2 linked regions of the Diceros bicornis minor genome follow. The protein of the gene in region 1 purifies or fractionates together with the protein of each later gene. This does not show direct contact. Links are inferred from orthologs where the notes say so. Each region holds a gene or a part of one and is shown on either strand. Other genes may lie near its edges.

What was found.
Region 2: the proteins of DCP1A (region 1) and BAG4 purify together in Homo sapiens (affinity purification with mass spectrometry; 4 studies listed by BioGRID and IntAct, counting the BioPlex papers as one, with this or other methods). This does not show direct contact. The link is inferred for Diceros bicornis minor from reciprocal best matches to the Homo sapiens genes DCP1A and BAG4.

Annotation. Positions count from the first base shown.
Region 1 is NC_080741.1:53,867,236-53,877,481, reverse strand, and holds the start of DCP1A (mRNA-decapping enzyme 1A), read left to right. Parts: upstream 1-5,291; 5' UTR 5,292-5,315; coding exon 5,316-5,450; intron 5,451-8,753; exon of another isoform or gene 8,754-8,754; coding exon 8,755-8,795; intron 8,796-10,246. UniProt on the Homo sapiens protein: Necessary for the degradation of mRNAs, both in normal mRNA turnover and in nonsense-mediated mRNA decay. Removes the 7-methyl guanine cap structure from mRNA molecules, yielding a 5'-phosphorylated mRNA fragment and 7m-GDP.
Region 2 is NC_080768.1:34,794,044-34,804,138, reverse strand, and holds the start of BAG4 (BAG family molecular chaperone regulator 4), read right to left. Parts: upstream 4,598-10,095; 5' UTR 4,363-4,597; coding exon 4,093-4,362; intron 1-4,092. Other genes in the region: U6 snRNA-associated Sm-like protein LSm1, read left to right, coding at 4,907-4,952, 8,482-8,550, 9,915-10,030. UniProt on the Homo sapiens protein: Inhibits the chaperone activity of HSP70/HSC70 by promoting substrate release. Prevents constitutive TNFRSF1A signaling. Negative regulator of PRKN translocation to damaged mitochondria.

The DNA.
Region 1 (10,246 bases):
GGTTGAAAGCATTAGTATTTCTGCTCCAGAACTGATGGACTAAACTAGTTCATGTATCAGAAATATAATTCTAGAAAACATCTGGCACCTTTTAAAATACGTTTATAAAGTAACATTTTAAAATACAGAGGTCTGAGACCTTTCTGGAAAAACTCTAGGAAAGAATTACCATCCTAAGTATCTCGTAAGGGCAAGCTAATGAATTTTATAGTAAGTCCACAACTTTTTGGAAATCAATCATGTAAAATAAATATCAGTAGTGAAACAGCACCACAAGGATAACAAGTTTCACTCACATGTAGCCAGTGTAATTTAAGAATGTGCCAGGCAGAATGGTAGCAAGATACACGATCTACCTCAAAGCCATGGTTAGAAGATGCTAATCCCAACTCAGCAAATGAATCATTATATGACTTTGGGAAAATTAGCTTAGTTTCTCTGCCTAAAAAGGCAAACAGTAATAAGCAGATACTTCTAGAATAAATCTTCAAAATCTGAGAGAGAAAGGGAGATGGAGAGTGAGAAGTGGAAGAGAGGGGAGACAGAGAGATGGAGAGAAAATGGACACAGGGAAAGCTGCAAGATTGAAAAGGTGCTGAATGCTTGCTCTGTGCTATACTAAAAACAACATGTCTGCTTCAGGAAGCATAGAGCTTATGAATCAAAATATGTTAATACAAGCAAATCAGGCATCATTATTTATTTAGCACGTATGACAAACAAATGCTTTGTTAGATGTGAGTTTAAACAACCATCCCTTCTCTCAGAGTTATGCTATAGATAAAGAGAAAACATACTAACATTCCAATTAATCCAACAAATAGTTATTAGCCCTTGCCTCTCTGCCAGGTACTGAGAATGTGACAGTAAACAAGACAGACGTGGTTCCTGCTTCATTGAGCTGACAAGATAGACAAAACATAAGTAAATAAAATAATTACAATTTGCAGATAAGAGCTATGAAGAAAGTGAGGAAATGAGCCAAAAGGATATCACAGGGATATCAAAGAGAAGAATGTTCTAGAAAGGGGGAACAACAAGTGCAAAGGCCCTGAGGCAAGACTCACTTGGCACATGTTCAAGAATAGCAAGGGGGTCAATGGGCTGGGGTAGAATCACTGAAAGAGCAATTCATAGAAAATGGAGATGGAAAGACAGCAGGAGGCCAGACCAGGCAATGTCTCCTAGGCCAAGGCAAGGACTTTGGATTTTACACCAGAGAAATGGGAAGTCTGTGACTGACTGACAAAGTTACACAGCTGGTAAACTTGGAACTAAAACACTCATCTTCTGACTTGTATTCTAGTGTCCTTTACCTTAGACCCTGTGATTTTATTTTTCATTTTATTTTATTTTGTGAGGAAGATTGTCCCTGGACTGACATCTGTGCCAATATTCCTCTATTTTGTATGTGGGACACCACTGCAGCATGGCTTGATAAGTGGTGTGTAGGTCCACACCCAGGATCTAAACCCACGAACCCAGGGCCTCCGAAGTGGAGCATGCGAACTTAACCACTCCACCACTGGGCCAGTCCCTAGACCCCATGATTTTAAATGGTAAGTTTTGTTTTTTACCACAAAGGCACTCAGAATGAAAGAGAGGTGGGGTTGGATTGATTGGGTTTTTTTAGATTGTCATATTTTAAATTATTTTTTAAAAAATATTTTTTAAAAAAATTGACATTCATGGAACACAACTCAAAAGTGACCACAGGTTTTTCAGTGCAGAGTTAGACTCTTTCCCGCCTCTGATCCCAGCCACTCATCTCCCCTCCCCTCCCTCTAGTCTCTGTCATGGCCTTAAAGGAGTTGAGTTTCAAGATGACATTCATGCACCAATATTTACTGAGAGTCTATTCTTTGCCATGGGCTGTACTAGGTACTGGAGACTTAATAGACTAAGATGCAATCTCTGCCCTCTCAAAGCCTATTGTCTAAAAGACACAAGAAAGCTCTTAAGGTTTGATTCACAAATATAAGGCAAAAATAGGTCCCAAAGTAAAACAAGAAGATTTTCAATTCCAAAATGTTCACATTTTCTTTAACATATCTTAAGAGCTGCATAGGGCATTAAAGTCAACACTAATGTTTTTGGGTCATGCAAACAAGCATTTTGAAGCAATTTTCTATTCCAAATATGAAAACTCCCTAAAATAGCTTGGGGTTCTTCACTAGTTTATCCCTATTCAACCAAAAATAATAAATGAAAAGGAAATGTCTTCGATTACTTTAGGAAATCTATATAAGAAAAAAAAACTAATGAATAAGTCACAAAGATGTAATGTACAGCGTGGTGACTATAGTTAATAATATTGCATTGCATATTTGAAAGCAGCTAGGAGAGTGGATCTTAAAAGCCCTCAACACAAGAAAAAAATTTTGTAAGTATGTACGGTGATGGATGTTAACTGGGCTATTGTGGTGATCATTTTGCAATATATAAAAATATCAAATCATTATGTTGTACACCTGAAACTCATATAATGTTATATGTCAATTACACCTCAATAAAAAAATAATAACTTTTTAAAAAGAAAAAAACCTAAATTCAGTTTCATGTGTGCCTTTGGATTTTGTACCAAGGGAATGTATTACCTATTCAAAAAATACATATATATCTTTTTAAATCAGGGTACAGATTGAAAGTAGGTAGAGGGGAGTAGGGCTCTGTCTCCAGGAGGAAGAAAGGCAGCCATAGTGTGGAGGAAAGGACCCTGGGGTAGAAGGCAGGAGTCCCTGAATTCTAATACTAGATCCTCCCTGACTAGTGTGGAACTTTGAGCCAGTGATTTCTCCACACAGCTTCAACGAAATCATCTACCAAGTGAGGATGACCACATCTTCCCTACCTCACCATTAGACTGTCAAATGAAAGGGAGCCCTTGCCCTTCTTCTGTGATGAACTCCTACTCATCCCTGGAGCACTGATTCAAACATCACCTCCCCCATGAAGTCTTCCTAGACTTTCCTGACCAGATGACATTAGTGGCTCCATCCTCTGGGTTTCAAGAGAAATGTTTCTAGCATTGTCCCAGTTTCCTGACATTGTTCTACTTCTTTCAGTTTCTCCCACAGGCAGGAAGTTGTCTTAGTCTGTGAAGCTCCCAAGGGCTAACAGTTCACAATTAGAAGTTTAATAAATAAATACTTGCTTAATGAACAGTGAATGAATGGTACATGTTTCCTTGTCTGCATTTGTACACACTTCTTACATGTGATAAATAAATGAAAAGCAATAGGATATATTGGAGTATATGAGGAAGCCATTTAGTTTAAAACTAATTCTGCCTCACATGGCCTATTGATCATGCATTGTATGTCTGCTTTAAACATTTACTACATACCAAAGACAAGAATGATGCCCTTAGAGATAAGGATGTAACTTCCCCCCATACTGGCATTTCTAGAAACTAAGGATTGATTATCAACTTGCTGTGCTCACCTTGTGACCACTGACCTGCTGTGCCAGCCAAGCATCTCAGGACAGTAGTAAAAGAGATACTCCTATCATATGTAACATATGCTCTTTGTTCCAAGACAGTATATAACCACTCTATACATCCCACTTCTTAAGAGTGCTTCCTTCCTTGGGGAAGGCAGGCCCTGGGCTATAGTCCTCAGGCCTGGCTCATAATAAACTCACCCGAATTTTGATTATGAATCGTTTGTGTTGACACGATTCTGCAAAAAATGTAAGATATGAATGGATGTAAAATCATAAACAATACAAATATTATGGGCTTTTTCTTTCAAAAACGTTCAATTCCATTAGGGCATCTTTTCAACATAAGAAAATGTTTTAAACAACAACAACAACCGGGTGTGGGGGTGGGGGAGTGTACATGGAACAGAGATCTGTGGGAGATCAAGATTTGGCCACCCTGAAATCTATCTCTTTACCTTGGTTGTTTTCTCTGAAGGACATTTGACCTCCCCCACTAACTGCCTAAAGAATTTGACATGGTGGCTCCTTTCTGGAACAGATCTATCATGATGGTTGTAAAGATAACGTAGGGTAAATGTTACAATAGGAAAGGCACCAACAAGCCCCTCTTATCAGAAGTTCTGTCTCTCTGGCCACATTCTCTGGATAACCCTGCGAGGAGTTGCCAGACAATCATTTACATTTATAAGGGAAATCTCCATTTGTGAAGGTATCTCCCTCTCTGTTTGGAGAAGAGAGGGGGATGAGCTCATTTCTAGTGACTTATCAATGTGGAAGGTGAGGCCTTGAGTTACATAATAAACCTTACTCTTGTTTACTGTGCTTTAGTGGTAATCTCCTGTAACTGACTCCCCCCACCCCCAAAATCCTCCTTTGTCATTGGCTGAAAATGATATTTAAGACGAGAATTTCTGCTATTGTGTTGAGAAACGCAGTGTCCCTGCTTTCTCCCATGTATACGTGTTATTAAACTTGGTATTATTTTCTCCTGCTAACCTATCTTGTTGATTATTTGGCCAGCCAGAAGAACCTTAAGGGAAAGGGCAGAGGGAGATTCTCCCTCTTCCCCCGACAGCTCCCTATAGTCTCCACACCTTGTTTTACGCTTCAGCTAGTACCAGGCTCTTCGCTGTTTGCTAAAAGAATGAGTTATCTTTTTAAAGCTTTAAACGATTCACGACAAACTCAAGCCTCCACGGACTCTTCTCAAGACTGGATGGAAAGATTTCCGTAGGATTCAGACGAGGAAAATAAGCAGCAAGAGTGAACAGCACAAGACACTCCTGTGTAGTTACAGGCAGGTTAGTTTGGCCTTTTTCAAAAATTTCCTTCAGAAAAACACGACATTGCTAAGGTGGTGATCTAGTGAGATGCGAGATCTGGGGTAACTTTCTGGGTTCCCTCGCTCCCCCTCTCCGCTTCTCTGAGCTTTCTACACGGCCCGTGGAGCCCTGCAGGGCCACAGCGGGGTTTTCGTGCTGAGGCCACGGGCCCTTCCCGTGCGCGAGCCGACGCAGGCCCGGCGTCCGTCTCCAGCCTCGTCCGGAAGGAGCTCGGAGGAAGCTCTTGGGCAGCCTTGATCCCGGCGCCGGGACGTTTTAGCCCGCGGAAACCTGGACCTCCACCTGCCAGCTCTGCTACGCGGTCCTGCACACCGCACCGGGGCCTCTAACACCTGCAGAGGCCGGAACCCGCCGCCCGGGGCGTGGGCGCAGCGGAGCGTAATAGCTACGGTACCGCCCCGCCGCCAGGCCCCGCGGAGAGGCGGAAGCTGAGGGCGCTGACGCAGCTGGGGGAACTTTGCTTCGATGGCACCTTCCTGTCCGCTACTCCGCCCCCGCCAGAGGGGCTCGGCTCGGGAATTCAAGATGGAGTCGCTGAGCCGAGCTGGGCAGGAGATGAGTCTAGCGGCCCTGAAGCAGCACGACCCCTACATCACCAGCATCGCAGATCTCACGGGCCAGGTCGCTTTGTACACCTTCTGCCCCAAGGCCAACCAGTGGGTGAGTGCGGCCAGGCCGCTGAGGTCGCTCGCCCTGCCGCCGCCTCTTAAAGGGGCCGCGCGGAACGCCCTGGGTGGGGGGCGATGCGGGAGGCCAGGGCGACGGAGGCGAGGCCAGGGACTGTAGAATAGCCTGGCCGGCGCCAGAGGGGTGTCGGGGGCGCCCTGGATCGGGGGAGAGGAGCGAGAGAAGTAGGCCCAAGACAGGGGGAAAAGCCGATAGAGGGGAGGATTGGAGGAGAATCTGTCGCTTGGGGTCGGGTCCGGGGACGTGGGCGCCCTGCCTTCTTTGCAGGTGTGTTTTAGAATACGAAGCCGATGGGGTCAGAAAGATGCCTGAAAGATTGTTTGAAGCTTCGAGGGTTATTAAATAAGTTACATATGCATAACATATAAAGTAAACACCTCGTAAATACAAGCTCTCCCCGCAACAGACACATAAATAAGAGCCCCCTTCGCAGAGGTCATTTGGATTGAAAGCTTGAAATCCAATTAGTTTCAGTTCTTGGAAAAGGAGGTGGGGATAAATCCGGCTTTTATCGAACTACGCTGTGTTTCCCGAGTTTTGGAGAAGATTTCAAGGCACTTAGGAAAAGGGCTTCGTATTAACTGGATTCCTTTGAACTCTTTGGAAACGAGACCCTGTAAATGTGTCTCCTTTCAGCTCTGCTGCTGGTGATGTCACCTCTGAATGCTCCCATCAGACTAAGTACTTTTTGGCTTTTTTGCACGGAAGGGGGTCCGAAAAGTTACGTTCAGTCTGTTCAGTGACTTGTTAGCCCCTGTTTGAAGCTTCTTTCGTTGTTTAAATAATATAATTTCCCGTTTTCTCGTAATCGACCCTTCTTAATGAACTCATTCAGCTATAAGCTTGACATTTAGAAAATAATCCGTACATGTTTGTTGGATTGAATTCGTGAGTGACTGACGTTCACATTTCAGTAAGAAATGAAATCTTTATGTTAACAAAACTCTAAAAGATTGTTATTGTAATATGTCCTTTACAATATAATACAGATACATAGGTTATATTTAATCAGTAATTTTGTGAAAATCATTTGGCATTTATAGACGGTTAATTCAGGTGAACAGAGTTTTCAAAATCATCTTGCTTTACTTTTTCTTTCCTTCACCTCCTGAAAGAGGAGATATAGGAGGCCACAAATAAGAAAGTTATAGAATTTTTTTAAGTGTAGCTGTTTTAGACGTTGCCTTAGTTTGAATTGTTCTTAATCATTTTTCTTTTCTTGGTCTACCTATAAATTTGTGAAATATGGATTGCAGACAAATGGTGAAGACTTGGGGCAGGGATTTATTACCAGCAAGCTTTTATTTCCAGTTTTTAACAGACTTTCATTATTTTGGAATTTTAATTGTGGAGTTCTATTTTAAATATGAAATACAAGCTTTAATAACCTGAATTGAAAAATAAGCTGTTGTCGTTCATTTGGATCATGGCACATAGAGCATAACCAAAATCTTTCTTTCTTTATTATTTTACAGTGAGTTGTAACTTTGCACAGTGTTTTGTTTGGGCAAGTTTGCTTCCACTGTAAGACAGTTGATTACCAATTTCTTATACTAATAACTTGACATTTGAAAGGCAAGAAAAAGCCTCTGAATCCTTAGGAAGGAAAAGTTTCATGTGATATTTCAGCTAGGGCAATACTCCTGGAAGAAATCAAGATGATAAATATTTTTTAAAATTTTTTATCCCAACAAATTCAATTTGATATGACTAACATTTAAGGTTTTCTAGTAGTTTGTTGATTACATTAAAATATTTAGGTCCCATCCAGGCTGTGAACTGCAGACTATTATGGTTATTTGTTTCTTTAAAACATCATAACTGTTTAAAACCTAAGTACACTCTTATCACAGCAAGTGAAAGATGATATGAGTTGTACTTTCTTAATCAAAACATTTCACTTTAAGCTAAAAAAAATTTTTTAAATTATATGTAAGACCTACAGTAATTACATTAAGGCAGAGTATAGTTTCAGTATTCATAATTCTTCAACAAAGTTCTAAAAATAAGCTAAGCATTTTTGACAGTATTTCTTAACTAACCACGGAATTTGCTACTCATGAAAATCCCCCAATGATGAAACAAAGTGTCCTATAAGATAAAATTTTGTTTTTTTATCTTACTAACTTTGATAAACTTTAAAAGTGAAGAAATTGCTGTACACAGGACCTTGGCTTTAAAATTAAGAAATTTGGCTAAAACATTTTGGCTTTAAAAAGTGAAAGTTGGGGCCAGCCCAGTGACCGTGATGTAGTGGTTAAGTTTCAGCACACTCGGCTTCGGCAGCCCGGGGTTCAAGGGTTCAGATCCTGGGTACAGACCCTCACCACTCGTCAGCCACGCTGTGGCAGCAACTCACATACAAAATAAAGGAAGAGTGGCACAGGTGTTAGCTCAGGGCCAATCTTCCTCAACCAAAACAAAAAAAAGAGGAAGATTGGCAACGGATGTTAGCTTAGGACCGGTCTTCCTGAAATTGAAAAGAAAAAAGTAAAAGCTAATTCTAGGGTTTTCTTCTTTAAAATTTAAAAAAGGAAAAGAAGGAGCTAGGGCCGGCCCGGTGGCTTAGCGGTTAGGTGCACGCGCTCCACTGCTGGCGGCCCGGGTTCAGATCCCAGGCGTGCACCGACGCACTGCTTCTCCGGCCATGCTGAGGCCGTGTCCCACATACAGCAACTAGAAGGATGTGCAGCTATGACATACAACTATCTACTGGGGCTTTGGGGGAAAAAAATAAATACATAAATAAATAAAATTAAAAAAGAAGGGGCCAGCCCAGTGGCTAGTGGTTAAGTTCACGTGCTCTGCTTCAGCGGCCTAGGGTTCACGGTTTTGGATCCTGGGCACAGACCTACACCCTGCTTATCAAGCCACGCTGTGGCAGGCGCCCCACATATGAAGAAGAGGAAGATGGGCACAGATGTTAGCCCAGGGCCAATCTTCCTCAGCAAAAAAAAAAGAGGAGGATTGGCAACAGATGTTAGCTCAGGGCTAACCTTCCTCACCAAAAAAAAAAGGAAAAGAAAAATGCTGTAGATACAAGCATGTTGCTGGATTGAACGTTGCATATACATTAATATGCATCAATAGCATAGAAAGGATACAAAAGAAACTGGTAACAGTAGTTTGTGGACTGAGAGACTTACTGGGCCTGTTCAAAAGAGACTAATTTTAAAATAAATAAGTCGATCTTAAACATGAAGTAGTTCTTCTCCGTTGGGACTATTTGGGGTTATATTATGGAGAAAAAAACTAATTGATTCATTGTCTGTTATAGGAGAAGACGGATATAGAAGGGACCTTATTTGTATATCGAAGGTAAGCTTTTTTTTTAATGATATTTATTTATTTTTTTAATTTAAATGTGAGCAATGTAGGGGCTGGCCCGGTGGTGCAAGCAGTTAAGTGCACACGCTCCACTGTGGCAGCCCAGGGTTCGCCAGTTCGGATCCCGGGCACGCACCGACGCACCACTTGGCAAGCCATGCTGTGGCGGCGTCCCATATAAAATGGAGGAAGATGGGCACAGATGTTAGCCCAGGGCCAGTCTTCCTCAGCAAAAAAAAGAGGAGGATTGGCAGATGTTAGCACAGGGCTGATCTTCCTCACAAAAAAACAAACAAACAAATAAATTTAAAAAAAAATGTGAGCAATCTCATATGAAGTGGTTCATCTCTGTTGTACATTTGTCTTTGAAACTGTCCTGCTTGGCTCTTCAAGTATTCATCCATCCCTAGCTGTGAGATCCTAACTAAGTTATGTCCTTTCTTTGAGCCTTCCTGTGGTTCAGAATAAACATAACCAGAAGTTATTTAGGAATCTAGCAAAACCGTCTCAAAATAGAAAACATTTTCTAGTAATGAATGAGTCTTAAACAGATTCCTTCCTCCTTCCCCCCCATATTAAAAAAAAAAGGTATGTAGTCGAGAAGACTATAATACATGGACTAGCTCTATAAAGTAATGTAGTTGAAAGTTCAGTTTCTGCTGCTCTGTGGTTACTGAATGGGAGGTTATCTTCTATAACTCTGGTTCTGTCCCCTTTTTGACCTCCCCCAAAAGTTCTGGATTGTGTACAGTGTCTTTGGTAATGTGTTTTTTTAGTTTGAGAGTCCTTTAGAAAGCCTGGCTTATTCATAATTGCACATTTTTTATTTTCCACTTTTTAGAGAATTAATTATTATCTTTAAACGTGATTGGTTTGCAAATTGCAGCCTTTGTTTTGTCTGGCAGTTTTTGTGGCCTGAAGGCAACTGACAGGTTATGATAGTCATGGAGTTCCTTGTTTTCCTGGGTCGCTCTTAGGTCTTGCTCTAACTGGGGCAGGTTCCTTCCCTTGATTTCTAAAGCTTAGGGACTCAGCAGGAGTTACTACTGACATATGGTTCTTTTCCTTTTTTTTTTTTTTTTTTTGTATTGTGGGTTATCTTTTAATGATTACTTTTCTCTGTTGATGGTAATTAACAAGAATTTGTCAAATACTCTTCTAAATTTTGGTGGACTGCTTTGAGATCTTGTCTAAACACACTGATCTTTTTTTCCCCTTAAATGTAAGGGCTTTGATATTGTACACCAAGCTCTTTATTCTTTGACACTTGGTTCTCTGTTATTCATCTTTCTCCTTTAACAAAAAAAAAGGCCTTCACCCTTCAGCTACTTCATTATCAATATAAATCTCTAGAAACTCTTCAACTGTTGTTAGAACCTTGGTACCTATAATATTTGGAAAGTACTTTCCTAGCCTATTGTTACAGTGTAGTATAGATCCAC
Region 2 (10,095 bases), on another chromosome or scaffold:
GTATCACTTACCTGCAAAATAACTGCGTCCTTGTTTGGTTGCATCACATGACTTTCCTGATTTTCCTCCTGTCTTTCTGAGTCTTCTCTCTCATTGTCTTCTTTTGGACCCTCTTTCTCTGCCACCTATTTTAGACTCTCAAAGATCTCCCCTGGCAACATCACCCAGTTTGGTAATGCAGTTATGCTTCTATTTGATGACTCTCAATCTCCAGCCCCCATCTCTCTCCTGAGCCCAACATCTATTGTTTTTGTTTTTTTGTGTGTGAGGAAGATCAGCCTTGAGCTAACATCCGATGCCAATCCTCCTCTTTTTTTGCTGAGGAAGATTGGCCCTGGGCTAACATCCATGCCCATCTTCCTCCACTCTATTATGGGACGCCGCCACAGCATGGCTTGACAAGCGGTGCGTTGGTGCGCGCCCGGGATCCAAACCAGCAAACCCCGGGCCACCACAGTGGAGTGCGCGCACTTAACTGCTGTGCCACCTGGCCAGCCCCAACCCACAGCTATTGTTTTGCTCCTACAAAAAACAACTCCTAGATGCCACAAAGACTAAACTTCAACACCAAAAAACACAAACAGAAAACCACAAATTTCTCTCTAATCACTTGCAGACATTGCATCCAGAGCTTGCACATTGTAACCACTTGTGACTAACTTGGCTTCCAGCAGAAATGAACTGAAAGCTGTACATAAACCCTTACCAAGTCTTTGTATTTCGTATTTTTTTAAGCTCCTCTATTAACGAATCATTAGTTCTTTTGGTACAAAACTAAACCATATCTTGCCCAAAACACCTGTTCCTCTTCCTTTTTAATTCCTACGAAATCTTTATTCCTATGAAATACTAAAACCTCAGAAGCACCTTCTGTTTCTCCTGCATCCCTCACTTCCAACTGATATATACCTTTGAAAATGTCTCAAATCTATGCAACTTGTATTGAAATGCATCCAAAAAAAAAGATGAGAGAGATGTAATAAAGCAAATACAATAAATGCTAATTACAGAATCTAGGTGGTATTCACTGTAGAATTCTTTCAACTCTTCTGTTTGTTTAAAAATGTTTACAATAAAATCTTGAAAAAACCCTGTCTACAATCAGACACTGTTCAAACGCATGCCCTTTTACTCTCTTCTGAACTACCCTGGGGGCCTAAGTGAGCTCTCTGTCCCCCATTCCTTCCCGTTGTAATCATCCTCCAAGACGGCTCCCAATGATCCCTGCCTCCTGGTGTTCATACCCTTGTGAAGTTGCCTCTGACACTGTACAAGAGTTGGTCTCTATGACCAATAGTATACAGCAGAAGTGATGGTATATCACTTGCGAGATTAGGTTGTAAAAGACTGCGGCTTGAGGCTACCATCTCAGCTCGTGAGCTCGCACTCTCCGTCTCTCTCTCTCTCTCATGACTTATTCTGAGGGAACATGTAAATCACCTGGGATCTTGTTAAAATGCACATTCTGGTTTGGCAGGTCTGGGGCATTTCCAGCAAGCTCCTAGGTGATGCAGATGCTGCTAGTTCAGGGATCAAACTACAGTGCTGCAAGTATAGCTAACAAGGTAAGAAAAGAAAGAAAGCAAGGAGCAGTAGATTTCCATTTTTTTCCCTGCCATATTTCTGTACTTTAATACAGTCAAATCTTTGTAGTGGTTCAGTGCAACATCACCTTAATATATTCAATTCTATAGAGCAGTGCTTCTCAAACGTGCGTGTGCATATGAATCACCTGGGGAACTTATCCAACTTCAGCGGTAAGTCTGGAGCAGGAAATCCTGAGTCTACATTTCTAACAACCTCCAAATGACACTGAAACCTCTGGTCCATGGACCACACTTTTTGAGTAGCAAGGTTTTTTAGTTGTTGTTGAGGAAGATTCGCCCTGAGCTAACACCCATGCCAATCTTCCTCTATTTTTCAGTATGTGGGCTGCCAGCACAGCATGGCTAACAGAGCAATGTAGGTCCATGCCGGAACGGAACATAACCACTAGACAACCTGGGCCACCTTGAGTAGTAAGGCTTTAAAAGGCTCCTATACCCTTTTTTTTTTTAGTTTGACATATCTGATTATATAAAAATGTAAAAAATATGTCAAAAACCACAATAAAGTTAAAAAAACAACAAATTTGGGGAAAAAAATTTGCCACATCTGTGACAACATGCATAACTTTTGCATTAATTTTCTGCTGCTGCATAAGACATTACCATCCTATACTGTTCAAGTTTCAGAAACATCAACCTGAAAGATAAACTCTTGGGATGGTTTACAAAGGCCCATTACACATTCTAGCTTTATCTCCAACTACTACAGCACCGACACCCACTCTATATGCACACCTACACTCAACCATACCTTACAACTCCCTGCATAATACTAAAATCTTATCTTCTCTAACCTTACTCCAAAAACACACTTTTGTTTTAATAATACAGCAAGCCCAAGTAGAAGTCATCAGTTTAACGGTCCTCTCCTCTTTCCCTTCAACTGACCTTCGGTCTAGTTTGCTACTTATAGGCCAAGCATTTTATCACTCTACTCTAACATGGGACTAAACTCCCATGGCCTACTTCTTCCAGATTTAGACAGAGAAAATATGGACCTTTCTTCACAATTAAACTTTTATTACTACATGTTTTTTCTCATGCAATTTTTTAAAGATATAACTAACAAACCATGAAACTCACCCTTTTAAAAGTGTACAATTCAATGGTTTTTAGTATATTCAAAATTGTGCAATCATCACCACTACCTAATTCCAGAATATTTTCATCATCCCCAAAAGAAATCCCATACCCTTTATTTATCATCCCCAACATCCCTAATGCCCCAGCCCCTGGCAACCACTAATCTTTCTCTCTACAGATTTGCCTATTCTGGACATTTCATATAAATAATATGTGGTCTTTGTGACTGGCTTCGTTCATGCAGCATGATGTTTTCAAGGTTTTTCCAGGTTGCAGAATGTATCAGTACTTCATTCCTTTCTACAGCTAAATAATTTCATTCTACGAATATACCATATTTTATCTATTCATCAATTGATGGACATTTGGGTTATTTCCTTTTTTGGCTGTTATGAATAAAGCTGCTATGAACATGCGTACACAAGTTTTTATGTGGACATATGTTTTTAGTCTTCTTGGTTATATATCTAGGAGCAGACTTGCTAAGTAATATGTTAACTCTATGCTTAATGTTTTGAGGAATTGCCAAACTACTTTCCAAAGCATTGAACCATTTTACATCCTCACCAGCAACGTATGGGAATTTCACTACTACATTTTCAACCAATGAGGATGTTATAAATCCCGAACGAAAAAAGAGGTGTGCCCCCCACCATATAACAATAATTCTCTACTAGGAATACCGCATTAACAAAACAGAAGTGTATTTCCGGCAGGAAAAAAATGTTATAGGGTCGGAGTATATTGAGCAAGTGAGTTAACCTCTCAGTGCCAACGGTTCTTTAATCGTAAAATAGGGACGCTGCAATGACATTTACGTTACAGTCGCCTTGAAATTAAATAAAACAATCCAGGTAAAGGTGCTTTGATTGGTGCGTAAAGGTGACTGATTATGCGTGATTCAGTCCTGGGCAAAGCATTAAGGGCAAAGGGCTAAATGCTCAGCTTCCTCCCCTCCCTTCGTGTTCCTTATCCGCGGGAGGGGTTCTGAGTGACGGCGGGGGCTGCAGCCACCTCCCTTCTCGGGGAGAGCCGGCCTGATGATCCACGCAGGATAAACTGTTAGAGCTCGAAAAGCAGAGCCAGGTCCCCCCAGCCCAACATCCTTCCAAGGCGAGAGATTCCGCATCCTGCTACTTAGCTTAGCAAGCCAGCGCAGGATTTTTTCCTTTTTTAATGGTAATAGACACATTTATTATGGTCGCAGCAGAAGAGGAGGGGCAAAGAGAACACAAGCATATTCTGCCACCCACGATCCCAGTCTGTCTCTCCAACCCCCTCATAAGGAAAACAAATATGAAACCCGATCCATTACGAACTCTGGAGGTGTATCAATCGCAAGGGTCCTCACCTCCCCAAACTCCCCTATCGGATCTCCCCTGGGAGATGGCGCAAAGCTTACCTGGTGGCTTCCTCCAGCTCGCCCCGGCTCCGGCCAGGCGCCTCCAGAGGGATAGTAGCCATCGCTTCCTCCGCAGTCTTCCGGCCAGGTGGTCTCAGCCGGGCCGCCCCCGCGCACCCGCCAGGAAATGGGAGGCTGGGGAGGTTCAGGGCGAGGAGGATATAAGGGCGGAGGTGGGTGCACGGGCACATCTCCAACCCCAGGTCCGTAGTAGCGGCCATAAGACGGACCGTCACTGGGGCCGTACCCCGAGCGCCTCAAGGCCGACATGGGCTCCACTGCCCCGAAGCGCTTCCCGCCCCCCACGGCCGGCCCATTGCGCAGGCGCCTGCGGCCGGGAAGGACTGGACAACAGTGAGGGGGGGGTCGGCCGACAACAGCCAATCCGAGGCCCCGTCCCGCCCCTTCGGCTGCCGAGTCCTGAGAGTGAAGGGAACAAGGTCGGTGAGTCTGGGGTCTAGGAAGCGGGAAAATGAGGGGCGGCGCCGTGTTCCTTAAAAGAGAGAATAAATTTTCGCACCATCTATCCAACCTAAATTCCTCCTTTTCTCAACAGGGATGGAGAAAGGGTGTCCCAGGACCGCCCGACGGTCCCGCCTCTTCCTGAGGACGGGCACGTGATGCCGGAAGTGGGTGGCGGTAATATGGAGGAGTTTCCGGCAGGCCCCGGCGGCTGAAAGCCGGGGCAGAAGTGCTGGTGCTGGTCCGGGTTCGTGTCCCGGTCCCGCCCAGGCGGCGACTGCGGTAGGAAGAAGGAGGTGTTGCACGCGCTGGCCCGCCGCCGCTATACATTGCAGCCTTATCTCAGCTCAAAATGAACTATATGCCCGGTACCGCCAGCCTCATCGAGGACATCGACAGTGAGTAGCCTGTCTCCTCCGGGTGAAGTCTGGGAGTCTGGGGTGAGACCCTTCCTCCTGGGCAGGTGCCTCTTCGGAGGGAGCTCGTAGAATGAGTCTGGGGCCGGGGGGACAGTGTGGTTTTAGCACAGCTCTGGATGTTCGGCGTTGACATCCTCCACGGGATGGAGGAGCCACGGGACACACCGTTTGGCCACCTCCTAGCCTACTATCTCTGCCCTGCCCCTCGCAGCCTCCGCCAGTCCCCGGTCTGGTGAGGCACAAGCTGTAGAATTCATTCCGGCTGCCGAAGGACGCGGCTGCTGAGGCCCAAATACGCAAGTTGCGCCTCCCGCCCCGGTCCACTATCTTGCACCTGCGGTATTTCGAAGTACCAGATTGTTACGGGTGGATGGATGAGAATACTTAGAGAAAGCATTCACCAAGAAACGAAAACAGTCAGACAACAGCAATTGGACTTAATTGCAGTAAACATAGGCTTTATGCTGTGTGGCCATTTGCAATCTTCTTTTACAGTGAGAGTCTTGAGCACGTTCAGGTTATGGTAGTAGAGACCGCTACCAGACAAGATCTTGACTTTTCTGGAAAGGCTGAGTCACCTCAAACTTCTTTTCTTTTGTTAGACAATTTTCTTTTGCTTTTACTGAGAAGACCTCTCTTATTGTTAGTCATTGTCTTGAAGAGGAGCTCAGTCCTGTAAAAAAGAGAAGCCACTTAGGGTTGTCCTGTCTTTCCTTTTTCTAAGCTCTCATCTGTGAATTATTCCTCAAGCAACATTTTTTAAATCGTTTTAATTGTGTGATCTGTCTCATTAACTTGTGATTGCTGCCAAATGGTTTACATACAATTCCAAACAAGTTACAGCTATATCTACAGTTAGTATGTATGCAAATTGAAGAGTAAGTCTATGATGAAATTCTCTTTTTATCGTTGTCTGAAATCATTTTTTAAATCCAAACTAGTGATTTACCTATTGAAGGAAAATTTAATGTAAACTGGACCAAATTCATATATAAGTAACCACTGTACTGTGTCTGCATTGTGTAAGCCTATCTGTATTGTGTAATGAAATGTTCAATTTTAGTTGCATGAGAATGCCCTTTTGCCCTCACCTCTCTTGTTATATATCTGAATTATTCGAGGCCCCTAACACATTCTGCCATTTTACTAAAAATAATTTTTATTCTCAAGTCCTCTAACCCCTTCTTTGTAGGTTCCAAGCCCCCTCCTTTACTGAAAAGTTTGAAGCCATTTCGTATGCCCCTTTCACTGCCTCCTTCACACACGCACGCTTTCCTCCGCTCTCCTCTGTCTTTCTGTATTTTCACCCATCCTCTCATTTGAATAGGAAGTATTCCTCCCTTTCAGTTTGTGTCTTTTATTATCCTTTCCTCCCACTGCTTCTGGAAATTTCTTCTATTGATATCCTTTTTTTCTCATATGTCCTCTCTTTCTCCTCCTGTATCCTTCCCTTCATGTATGTTCTTGTCTATCCAACTGAATTTTTTTCTCAGTTGTGTCTCCCCATCAAACTCCCGTCCCTTTTTCTATATCTTTACCCACAAATCTCTTGAGTCACCTCCATTTTGTCTCTACTTCCTGACCACCTGCCATAGACCACCTGTATTATCCCTGAAATCTGAATTTTGTTGTCAACACATCACTGAAGCTGCATTATTAAAAGGCATCAGTTTGATGTACTCTTCTGAGCTCTTCCTGCCCCTCTGCAGCATTGTGATACTATTACCACTGGATTCTTAATTCTCTTCTCTTGATTTCTCCAACAATGATCCTTACTCATTTTCTTACCTCTCCGACTATTACTCTTCCCTAAAATAGATGGTCTCGGGTTTCATCTTTGGCCAGCTTCTTTCTTTAAATCTCTGGGGACTCTCCTGGACTTAAATAGTTTTATATTAGCTCTTTGTGGACTTATCCAACATTGCTCTAATTCTGACCTCTTTGGCATTCCAGTCTTACATTTCCAGCTGCCTGTTGACTTGTCTACATAGGTGTCCTGGTAGCACCTCAGAATCACCAACAGCTAATAATCTTGCAGCCTGAGCTTGCTTCTTTTACTCCCAACTTCCCTAAGTGGTCCTCCCTGTCATGGGACTCAAAATCCATACATCATCTTTACCTCATCTCTTCAGCACCCCACTCTCTCACACATACCCACGTATACAAACTCAATTAGTTGACAAGTCCCATCACTTATAACTGCACAGTCTCAGTCGTCTCATCCTCTCCCTTCTCATCTCTACCTTGGTTCAGGTCTCTTCTTCACGTCTCAGACTCTGGGAATAGCCTCCTAAGTGCTCTCCCTTTCCTACCAGTTCAATCTTCAGTGTTTTCTTATTCCCTATGATGTCAAATCCAAACTCAGCGTGCTCCCAGGACTTTTCTGACTTTGTCTCCTGTTATTTCCCTTCACACCCTCAACTTTTAGCCAAACATTGATACATAACCCTTTTTTTTCTCCTTTCTAAATTACAGATTTCCCTCCCCTTCCCCTTCCCTGTTACTCTTCCCATGGCCAAAACTTAACTACCTTTCAAGGTCCAACTCAGATACTTCCTCCAGCTAGGTATAGTTTCTCTCAGTCTCATGTAATTAAGATTTGCTTTCTTGTGGCTCTTAATTATAGCCCAAGGAAGACTAAATTCCTTCAGGGAAGAATCAGTGTCTTGTTTCTCTGGTCTGCATCTAGAAAGTACTTTATGCATGGTATTAAAGAAATGAATGAATGAATTTTGCCAGCTATTCTAGTGACTGGCTTATTGTCATTCTTCAGTATCAGCTCAGAGTCACCTCTTCAGAGAGGTTTTCCCTAGCCATCTCTCTTCTGTAGCTACTTCCCCTGTCTCTTCATACTGTCTTGCTATCTTGTTTATTATTGCGTTTTACTAATCACAATAGCTCATTTTTTATTTGTTTGCCTTCCTTCACCAGGAATATAAGTTCATAAAGTTGGTGACTTTCTGAGTCTTATTCTCTACTGTACGTCTACGCCCCAGAACAGCACATAGTTCTCAATAAATATTATTGAATTTTTGCTCTAACTTATTATCAGCATCCTCATTTGACATGTCCGAGGCATTGTTTTTATTTAAAACCTTCCCTGATTCTAAAGTGTTAAATGGAACCTCTTCTAAGTTGAGGTGAAAATAATTCTAGAATTAAGATCATAAAGATTATCTAGACTAAATGTCTCAATTTGCAGATATAGAAACTGACATGACACTGAGAGGATTTAACTGTCAAGCATCAGCGTCTAGAGCCAGTCAGTCAGGCTTCTGACTGCTCAGCCAGGCCTTTTCCCACTGTGCGACACTGCTCTGATTCTTGTCACCACTGATCTTCTAAACCCAGAGCTGTCTTGGTCCTCCCTCTAATTTCCCAATGAACTTCTCTATAAATACATTAGAAGGGGAAGTAATAGAGCTTAAACTGCTATTACCTTTATTTTTGTTGTTACCCTGTAAACTCACTGAAGGTGTTTTTTAAAGATCTTTTTTCCTCTTCCCAGAAAAGCATTTGGTCCTGCTTCGAGATGGAAGGACACTTATAGGCTTTTTAAGAAGCATTGATCAATTTGGTATGTATTAGTTACAGACTGCTCTTATACTCTGGATAATGAGGGCTGCCCATTGTTTTTTTGTGTGTGTTATTTCATATTGAAATTTATTTATCTGCAACTTTTTCACGTGTCTGGCATAATGGAATACTGTTTTGAGTCATTACATCATTGTTTTCTAAATTATGATTAGGTGGTTCAATAGCTTGTATTCATAAGCTTGTATTTCTAAAACTGGTTTTCACTAGAACATAGGATTACAGTGTTTTGGCCTATTTTATTTTCCCCACTAGAGGGAGCCAAATGATAGACATAAACTCAATCCACTGAAAAGGTTGCTCATTTTATGTTGGCTTGGGTGTAACTACTCTTCAAAGCACTTGCTGCACTGAAGGTAATCCCTCCCTGTCCGATGAAAATGTGGTAGGAGGCATTTCCTGAAGCTTTTGAGGGACCTCAATATTAAGCTCAAGATACTACACTTAGGGATACATTAGACTCAAGAGTCTCCATCTCTGTTTTGTATCCACCGTTTTTCTAAAGAGATCTGTATTTGCTTCTGTTTGAAGGAACTTCGCAGTTCATATCAACATTTGCTGGACATCTGCTAGATCAGTGAATTTCAGCATGAGGAAAAACAACATAATTGAAATACTTGTAAGAATGATAGAAGATAAGAGCATAGATATCTGCTTTTCTTCAAATAAGACAATACCAGTTAAAAAAAGAAAAATAATTATTCTTAACAGATTGAAGTTCTAAATTTTAAGTCAAATTCATCAGACTACTTTGAGGGAAAAGTAGTAAATACTGACTTTTTACTCTCAGATTACCAGGTATGGTTATCTGACACAGTGGAAAAATAGGTTATTGCTGTATCATAATCCATGGATACTTGCATTGGGTTAAGTGAATCTTAAGTACTGAAACAAAGTTAAATCTTTGGTAAATCACATACACATACCCATACAACATAAAAACACTGTTTACTTCTAAAAAATCAGAGTTTTAATCTCTGCAGCTGTAGGTTTTAGAGTCTTCTTAGTGCCCTACTTATTTATGTTTTCTTATAGCCATGTTGATATTAGCAATTAACTGATAAAGGAATTTAATTTTCTTAACTTATTCCCACCATCATCCATGTGTTAATGCAACATAATTCCAAATACTCTCTCAGTTTGTAATTGTTTTAAAGTCTCCTACGTGCTATGTCTTGATGAAATAAGAGAAGATTGTTTGAAATTTTAGCTTTTCCCAGAATTAGAAAGTTTGGAAATCATGTTTAGCTAAATCTATTATACTCAAAATAACTGATTGATTGAGTTATGGACCTTTACCCAATAATTTAAACTAAATATCTTTGTTTCTTCCCTATACACTTATAGCTAACTTAGTGCTACATCAGACTGTGGAGCGTATTCATGTGGGCAAAAAATACGGTGATATTCCTCGAGGGATTTTTGTGGTCAGAGGAGAAAATGTGGTCCTACTAGGAGAAATAGTAAGTGAAAACTGTTAAGCTGCTCTGGGTCTTAATAATCATGCTAGTTAGGTTTCTTTTTGTCT